Linked DNA regions of Mus musculus. The protein of the gene in region 1 interacts with the protein of each later gene in a pairwise test. Links are inferred from orthologs where the notes say so. Each region holds a gene or a part of one and is shown on either strand. Other genes may lie near its edges. The genes, in order: Marchf2 and Furin.

Region 1 (3,809 bases):
GTGGTTCATCTGGCATATGACCTAACATACACAAAGCCCTGGATCTGATACTTAGCACTTTATAAAACTCTTCATGGTACCACACGACTATAGTCCCAGCACTGAGGAGGTGGTGCAGTGGGAATCAGAAGTTCAAGACCAGTATTGTCTATATTGTTGAGTTCAAGTTCAACTTAGGCTACATGAAACCCTGTCTTGAAAAAAAAAAAAGCTTGGGAATAGAGTGGTTTTGATTTTGAGAATTCCGGGAGGGGCGGTTGGAATGTTTAATGAATAACAGAGGTGTATATATACCTTATACTCTCCTCCTAAGGTAGGTTTATAAAAATATATTACTTTAGTTAATTAGTTTCTAGTATTGCTGGAACCCACGGCCTCGCTCACACTAGGCAAGAACTCTTTCACTGAGTGTCTTGGAGTCAACATACATGGTCAGATCTTTCTTTTTCTCTCTTTCCCTCCTTCTGGAAGGAAATGGCTCAGCATCGAGATCACTTACTGGTTTTTTGAGGACTGAAGTCCAATTCCCAGCACCCACATCAGTCTATTCACAACCACCTGTAAGCCTAGCTCCTGAAGGGACTGACTCCTTCATCTGGCCTTCACGGCCACCTTACTTACCTCATACACACACACACACACGCACGCGCACGCGCACGCGCACGCGCACGCGCACACGCACACGCACACACATGTAAAAAATTCAGTGTCAGTCTTAGTTTCTTTCCTATTGCTGTGATCAGACACCGTGACCAAGGCGAGTTTATTGGGAGCTTATGGTTTTAGAGGGTGAGTCTGTGGTCATCACGACAGGGAGCATAGCAGCAGACAGGCAGGCAGGCATAGCTGTATTTGAAACCTTATATTTTACCTGAAAATAGGATATAGAGAACGACTAACTGGAAATGATGTGTGGTGACATATCTCCTCCAACTAGGCCACACCACCTAATTCTTCCCTAGCAGTGTCATCAGCTGGGGACGAAGTTTTCAACTATAGGGGCATACGTAGGGCATCTTTACTCAAGCCACCACTTTCTACCTCTGCCTGCTGAGGAAGGTTCTCACATATTCTAGGAGGACCTCAGACCTAAAGAGGCTGGCCTTGAACTCATTGAACTCATGATGCTTATTCCTACATCTCTCAGGTATTGGGATTATAGGATTACATCACCACCTCCTCTGTTTCTTTCTTTTCTAGGGTGATATTAGTAATTGAACTTAGGGCCTCATTCATGCCAGGCAAGTGCTGAACCATTAAATTATACCCTAGATATAATATTTTAAATACTTTTGAGCTGGGCATTGGACCATACTTTCAGCACTTGGAAGCACAAGGGCCAGAAGTTCAAGGCCCACTTGGATTGCATGAGACTCTGTGTGAGAAAACAGGCACCCACGACAGTGGTAATGATGATGATGATAAATGATACACACACACACACATACACACATACACACACACACACACACACACACACACACACACACACACACACATACACACACACACACACACACACAGAGTTTCACAGTGTGGAATTTTCTACTGTACCACAGTGGTACACCTTTAATCCCAGCACTGGGGGGCAGAGGCAGGAGGATCTCTGTGAGTTCCAAGGCCAGCCTCGTCTATATACCAAGTTCCAGGACAGTCAGGACCACATAGAGAGATACTCAGAAACAAAGAGACAAAGAATTTATTTTTATTTCCTATTTAGGTATATGTATGTATGTTCACTCGGGTGCAGGTGCTGAGAGGCAGGTAGAAGACATGGGATCTCCTGGAGCTGGAGTTACAGGTGGTTGGTTATGAGCCCTTAACGTAGATGATGGGAACTGAACTCCAGTCCTTTGGAAGTAGCAACTGCAATTAACTTCTGGCCCAGCTCTCCAGTCCCCCTTTCCCCATTATGCTCTGTTTTAGAGTTTCAGATTGTTAGAACATTTTGGATTATAGAGTTTTAGGGTAGGAATAGTCAGTCTGTTCTTGCTATGGGAATTTGCATGAATGAATTAACTCTTCTTTTATTTTGATGCCCCCATTTGCACATCAGAAAAATGGGGACAAGCACTCAGCAGACTCCTTTCATTAATAGAAATATGGAGATCTAGGCTTACAGTCTGCCCCCCATTCCCTATCCATTCTGCAGCACCCATCCACATAACCCCTCTCTGTCATCTGCATCTCTACAGTGGCTAAAGGACCCAGGGCCGCGCACTGAGAAGCGAACACTGTGCTGTGACATGGTGTGCTTTGTGTTCATCACACCACTGGCTGCCATCTCAGGCTGGCTTTGCCTGCGAGGGGCCCAGGACCACCTCCGTCTGCATAGCCGGCTGGAAGCTGTAGGTCTCATTGCCCTCACCATCGCCCTCTTTACCATCTATGTGCTCTGGACACTGGTGAGTGGGTAAAGCCCATGTGGGTGGGCTCAGCTGGAATCCCTAGGCTGTGTATGAGTGTAGCTTCTGCTGGAAGTGGTCCCCTCAGCTTCCTGTTGTTCCAGGTTGACATTGTAACACAGGTCCAGGGATGCATCCAGCCAGTAGTGAGCCTTTTGTTTCAAGGGCACAAGAACATTTAATCACTGTGGGTCAGTTGGGAAGAAGGAAGACAGATCAGTAAAAGGCTGAAGCTAAGAAGACATTGGGAGTGAAGTGGAACAGATATATATTAAGAAACTGAGGGTAGGGCTGGAGAGAGAGCTCAGTGGTTAAGAGCACTGACTGCTCTTTCAGAGGTCGTGAGTTCAAATCCCAGCAACCACATGGTGACTCACAACTATCTGTAATGAGATCCATATGTCCTTCTCTGGTGTGTCTGAAGACAGCTACCATGTACTCATATAAATTAAAATAAATAAATTGAAAAAAAAGAAAGAAAGAAAGAAACTGAGGGTAGGTGAAACATCTTAGCAGTAAAGTAGCTGGCCCTGAGTTTGACTCCCTGGACCTATGTGGTGGAAGGTGAGAGCTGATTCCAGGTTGCCATCTGTCCTAACATAAGGGTGCCATGGGGTATGCTGCCATGGAAATAACTAAATAAATGTAGCAAAAGTATAGATTAAAAATCTTCCAAAAAATTATGAGCCCTCACCTCTCTCTGCTGAACTGTTGGCTTCTGATAGACTCCAGAGAAGGGGAGACTTTGTCTTTCTTCAGTTGTGTATCCACAGCTGGGCCCACTAGGTTCTGGTGTGTACCAGAATCCTTGGCCACACAGAGTAAAACAAAAGCCATGACTATGGGGAAAGGCTTTGTAGGGAGGGAGGGTTTGATGAGGTTAGGGGTGGTGTTGAAAATGAGCGGGAGTGAGAGCAATTAGAATGTATATATGCATAAATGAAATTGTGAAAGAGACATTAAATTAATATAAAAAGTTAAGAAAGACACACAGAAAGAAAGAAATCTGGCCAGAATGTAGCTCGGGTGGTGGAATCCTTACCCAGTTTTGCTTAGTGGTGTCTTAAGTACTGGCAGTGTTTGCACAACAAGGATGTGATGTAGTCTTCAAGATACATTCCCATCACAAAGGGACACATTTTAAAATACATACATTGCATGAAAACATATGTACTGCTTGTTTTATCCTTTGCTAATATCCTTTCAAAAGAAAAGAGGTCGCTCTGGAGAACACGAGTTGATTGTGTGGCTGTACTGTATTTATTTAGTCAATTCCTTTATGACATACTCTGAGACTTTTGGTAATGTGTGTGATTTTCACCTGTTACAAATAGTGTTTTGGGCCACTACCAATGAAGTTCTTCCTTGCTTCTTTTTCCCTCTTTCCCTCCCCCTCTCTCTTCC
Region 2 (4,450 bases), on another chromosome or scaffold:
TGAGCTGTAGGGAGTTATTTAAAAGACTCTCAGTCCCCAAGAGGAAAGAGTGGGTGACTCGAGTTGGGATGGAGGCTGAGGAGCCACACTCTGAGCATGAGGGATTCCTGAGGTTTTGCCACCCTCTAGGGCTGAGATGACAGCCATCTTTAGAGGCAGGGCCCAAGCTGTTTCCTGGGCAACTTTGCTCCTGCTAGTCCAGCCCTGCTGCCCCCTGGCGTGTTCCAGGCCCACCACCTTGCGTAATCTGAGCCAGGCTGCCAGGGCAAACACTGGCGCTGAGCCTGGAACACCAAGGTGAGGCCGAATCAGTAGCCCTGAGTGGTGTTTTTCCTCCTTCAGCAAACAGACAGCAAGACCTCTCTGCCTGGGGCCACATAACTGTCCCCATAAAGGGCCCCTGACTAGCCACAAGCCAAGCTCCTGGGGTAGGTGGCAGCTAGGAGAGGTTCCAGTAGGCTGCTGGGGATGTCCTGTCTAAGTGCCAGGATCCCGATGCCCCTACCATTCCCATGGCCCAGCCCTAGAGGTAGCCACTTGGCCAAATGGTAAAATGTAGATACCTCAGCACACTGCCCTGTGGAGCTGGGCAGATCTGCTAGCCACTGGGAACGCCAAGATTCTCCAGGAACTGCCACTAGCTACCCAGCCTCCCTAACTGCTGCCATCTCACCCTATAGGCTGAGGGGACTCCACACACAATCCTGGAGTATTTTCAGTTTACACCAAAATAACCTGACAGCTGATGGCAGGAGACATCCACGAGGCAGACTCCATGCCTGAAGGGCAGAGTCCAAAGGGCTCCGAAGACATGCCTCAGAGTTAGAGCTCCGTGCCTCCACGTAGAAACAGGACTCTTGCCACATCTAAAACCTCTTTAGTTTAGAAATGTGCAGACTCCCTGCTCCAAGTTTTGAGACCTGCCTACAACTTCCAAATTATGGCTGGGTCGGTCTGGGTCTAGCCCAGGTTTCAGCAAACTATAGATGGGGCCACTGAGACAGAACCCCCACCACACCTCGAGAAAGATGGTCTGCTTCCCTCCACACCAAGTCTCCCCAACTGTGGTAAGGGTGGGATATGAATTCCAGACATCAGAGAGCCCTGCCTCGTCATCAAGACACATAGGAGGATACACACACCACACACACACACACACACACACACACACACAAAAGAACTGTGAACAATGAATGAACAGGCTTCTCCCCACCCCCATTCCAGACTCTGACTCACCCTCTGAGTCCCAGTTGTCTCAAAACCAGGAGACTGGATATATTTCTAGCCTCTCTGGGTCAGTTTTGCCCAGCCATCAGTGCTGGGCCTGACTAGAGAATAGGCTATAGTACTGTCCTAGCTCTTTTCTTAGGCAAAGCCTTTCTGTCTCTCCCTAGAACCTACAGACAGAGATAACCACAACCATTCCAGGCATAAGACGGGCACTTACCCCCAGGTGTGGCTGCTGTTTCTAGGACCTGGAGACCCAGCTGAGGCAGCCACAGAGCAAGCCACCAAAGACTGCTGGGAAACCCAATCAGGTCTCTCTTTCCAGCAGAGACCCCAAGGCAGGTCCTGTTACAGGCACCTCCCAGGAAATTTTAACTCCTAGTCCCTGCTCAACTACTTACACAAGTCATTTCCACTCTCTGGGCCTCAGTTTCCTTGGTGGTTAAAAACTATTAGGACAGAGGCTTTCAAACTTTTTTTAAGCCATAGGATCCTCTTTTTAAAAAAATACAAATTTTAGATAGAAGCCCAAAACAGGAAACACACACCTAATCTGCTCGCCCACCCTCCTTTTCTATGTCCACACCTGGCCAGCAGCCACATGCCCTCACTGGGCCACATCACCTGCGTCGTCTTGGCACTTCCCAAGTCAGAGAGAATCCCAGTGCTTCAGAGAGATGAAAGTCCACTTCCCCTAGGCGCAAAGCCCTGGGGCGGTGGGAACGGCGGCACCGAGCAGACTAGTGTCTGCTGTCAGACCTGTATGGCAAGCAGGCCGCCCCTCGGCTAGCCACCCGATGGATGGGGGCAGCAGGGGCCTCGGCCAGGCCTCGGCAGGAGGCAGCCCGGAGCGAGCCTCCCCCAAGCCGGCCTGTGCGCGCACGCGAAATCCGCCCCCGACCGCTCCGGCCGTACAGGTGTGCCAGGCGGCCGAGGACCCCGTGCCCTCCCGGGAGCGCGCCCCACCAGGCGCAGGCCCCGGCCGCCGGGGCCACGGAGGACCGCGGGCAGGCGGGAGCACCCAGAGTCCGAGGAATGCTCTGCCTAGCCCGCCCCAGCAGGGGCCCCGCCGGCGCTTCCTGAGGTCATAGGGCTCGCCCCGGCCCCAGCGGAAAAGTACCGGCGCGGGCCCAAGCCCGGCGCTCAGGTGGGCTGCGCGGCTCCCGTCCTCCCGCCGCGGCGGCCGAGAATCCGCGACCAGAGCCCGGCGGCCGGCGAGGCCCGGGGCTGCGCCGCCCGGCTCCGCGCTCCCCCGCCCGCTCCGGGCCCGGTTCCCCAGCGCGCCGCCTCCCCGGCCCCGGGCCGCGCGCCCTCGCCGCTTACCCTGGGGAGCCCGGGCGGGGAAACTTTTCCGGACGAGCGCCGCGGCCGCTCGGGTACCCCTCGGCCGAGCACGGAGCCCGGCGGCGGGGGCCTGGCTCCGGCGGTCCCCGCGCCCGGCAGCGGCGTCACGGCGCGCAGGCGGGGAGGCGCGGCGGCGCGGCCTCGGCCCGGCCGGCGACCAGGGCAAGGCTCGGCCTGGGCTCGGGCGCGGGCGGGGGGCAGCGGCCCGGCCGCGGCGGCGCGGCTTGTTTACTCGGGCCGCTGTCACAGCGGCGGCGGCGGCGGCGGCGGCCCGGGCTCCTCCTCCTCCGCGCCGCGCCCCTCCCCCTCGCGGCGCCACCTCCGCGCTCGGCGGCCGCAGCCGGCCCGGCCCGTTCGCCGCCCGGGTCGGGTCAGGCCGGGCCCGGCCGGGCCCGGCCGGTGTTCAGAGAGCTCCACGCGGCGGGCCCTGCGTTCTCGGGGCGCCCTGTCTGCGGCTGCCAGCGGGGCGGGTAGGGAGCGTGGTCCCTGCGCGCCACCCCAGGCCCCTCGGTCCGCACCGCGTTAGGCTCTTGGCCCCGCAAACTCCCGGGCAGATGGTTTCGGAGACCCGGACTGGGAGCCCGCGGGCGAGATGGCGAGGGAAGGGCCGAGGGTCGGGGGGTTTGGGGAGAGTCCAAGCTGGCCCTGCCTTGCCCGAGGTTCCTGGGTCCCGAGTTTTGAGTTTGGGGATAGTCAAGGGAAGCGCCCTGGGATGGCGGACCTGGGGCAACTCCACTCTCAGGTCGGATCTCACAGCGGCAGGGCAGCCCTCGTGCCTCCAGTTAGAGGAGTCACAGTTTTATTTGCTTTTGTAGAGACAGGTGGATAAACAGAAATAGCCCACCTCCTTTTATGGTTTTTTTTTTTTCCCAATACTTTTTTTTCCCCCTGCAACAACGGAGAGCTAGGCACTGGGCCAATCAGTTCACCCTATCTTCTCCTTATGTACATTCCTTAATCCACATAATCCGCTCAGGATGACATTATTAATCCCACTTTACAGATAAGGAAACTGAGGCACACAAAGTTTAAATAATTTTCCTTAAGCTACACAACTTAGCAGGCCTCAGACTTGGCAGCGTTTCACTCCAAGCTACTTACAGTATACCAGCCAGAGCCCTTCCCTCCCTGGGTTCCTGCCCTAGAAAACGGCTGTGCTACTTGGCGGAAGGTTGACATTCTGCTCGAGCTGAGAAAGAAGAGGGGAACCGGGCCAAGATCTTCCCAGGCTGGGTTGTTCCAAGGTCGCCAGCGGCCTCTGCACATCCCTTCTTGCTCTCTGTGAGATAACCTGGCCACATGAGACTTTGCCTCAAAACCCTCAAAGTAGTACACATACACACATACACACGTATCATTTGTGTGGAAAGTCGTCCAGGAAAGTTGGGCTCAAATCCTTGCGGTACTATTTTGCATTATTTCGAACCTTAAATTCTCAGAGCCCCGATTTATCCCTCTGAAAATGGAGATGTGTATGAAGTTAACTGAATCTGTTATTTGAGCATCCGTTAAAACACTGCAGACATGGGGTCTCTAAAAGTCTGGTTCCTCCCAGATTGGGGGCTTTCCCTTAGAAGGAGCTAAGACCTGTGGGGACCACTGTGGGGTAGCCCCCACCAGCACCACCACATGCACATTTGGGAGAACAATACTCTTGTGGTGAGACTGAGGCAGGAAGTGAGTCAGAGATTTTCCTTAGGCTATGAGCAACATCACCCATTTAGGGGAAATAGGGACAGGGTTGGCCCTATCTAGCAAGGGAGTCCCCTAGTGCTCCTCCCAATTGTCCTGTGACCTGAAAGTTTACCTCAGAATGAAAGCCTCGTGGTTTCCCCCTTCCTTGGAGGCTGGCCCAGAGGAGTCTCCGTGGGCCTTTGGA

What was found.
Region 2: the proteins of Marchf2 (region 1) and Furin interact in a protein complementation assay, tested with the Homo sapiens proteins (2 studies listed by BioGRID). The link is inferred for Mus musculus from reciprocal best matches to the Homo sapiens genes MARCHF2 and FURIN.

The regions. Positions count from the first base shown.
Region 1 is NC_000083.6:33,694,633-33,698,441, reverse strand, and holds part of Marchf2 (E3 ubiquitin-protein ligase MARCHF2), read left to right. Parts: intron 1-2,195; coding exon 2,196-2,405; intron 2,406-3,809. UniProt on the Homo sapiens protein: E3 ubiquitin-protein ligase that may mediate ubiquitination of TFRC and CD86, and promote their subsequent endocytosis and sorting to lysosomes via multivesicular bodies.
Region 2 is NC_000073.6:80,399,980-80,404,429, forward strand, and holds the start of Furin (furin preproprotein), read right to left. Parts: upstream 2,834-4,450; 5' UTR 2,551-2,833; intron 2,422-2,550; exon of another isoform or gene 1,814-2,421; intron 1,516-1,813; exon of another isoform or gene 1,448-1,515; intron 1-1,447. UniProt on the Homo sapiens protein: Ubiquitous endoprotease within constitutive secretory pathways capable of cleavage at the RX(K/R)R consensus motif. Mediates processing of TGFB1, an essential step in TGF-beta-1 activation.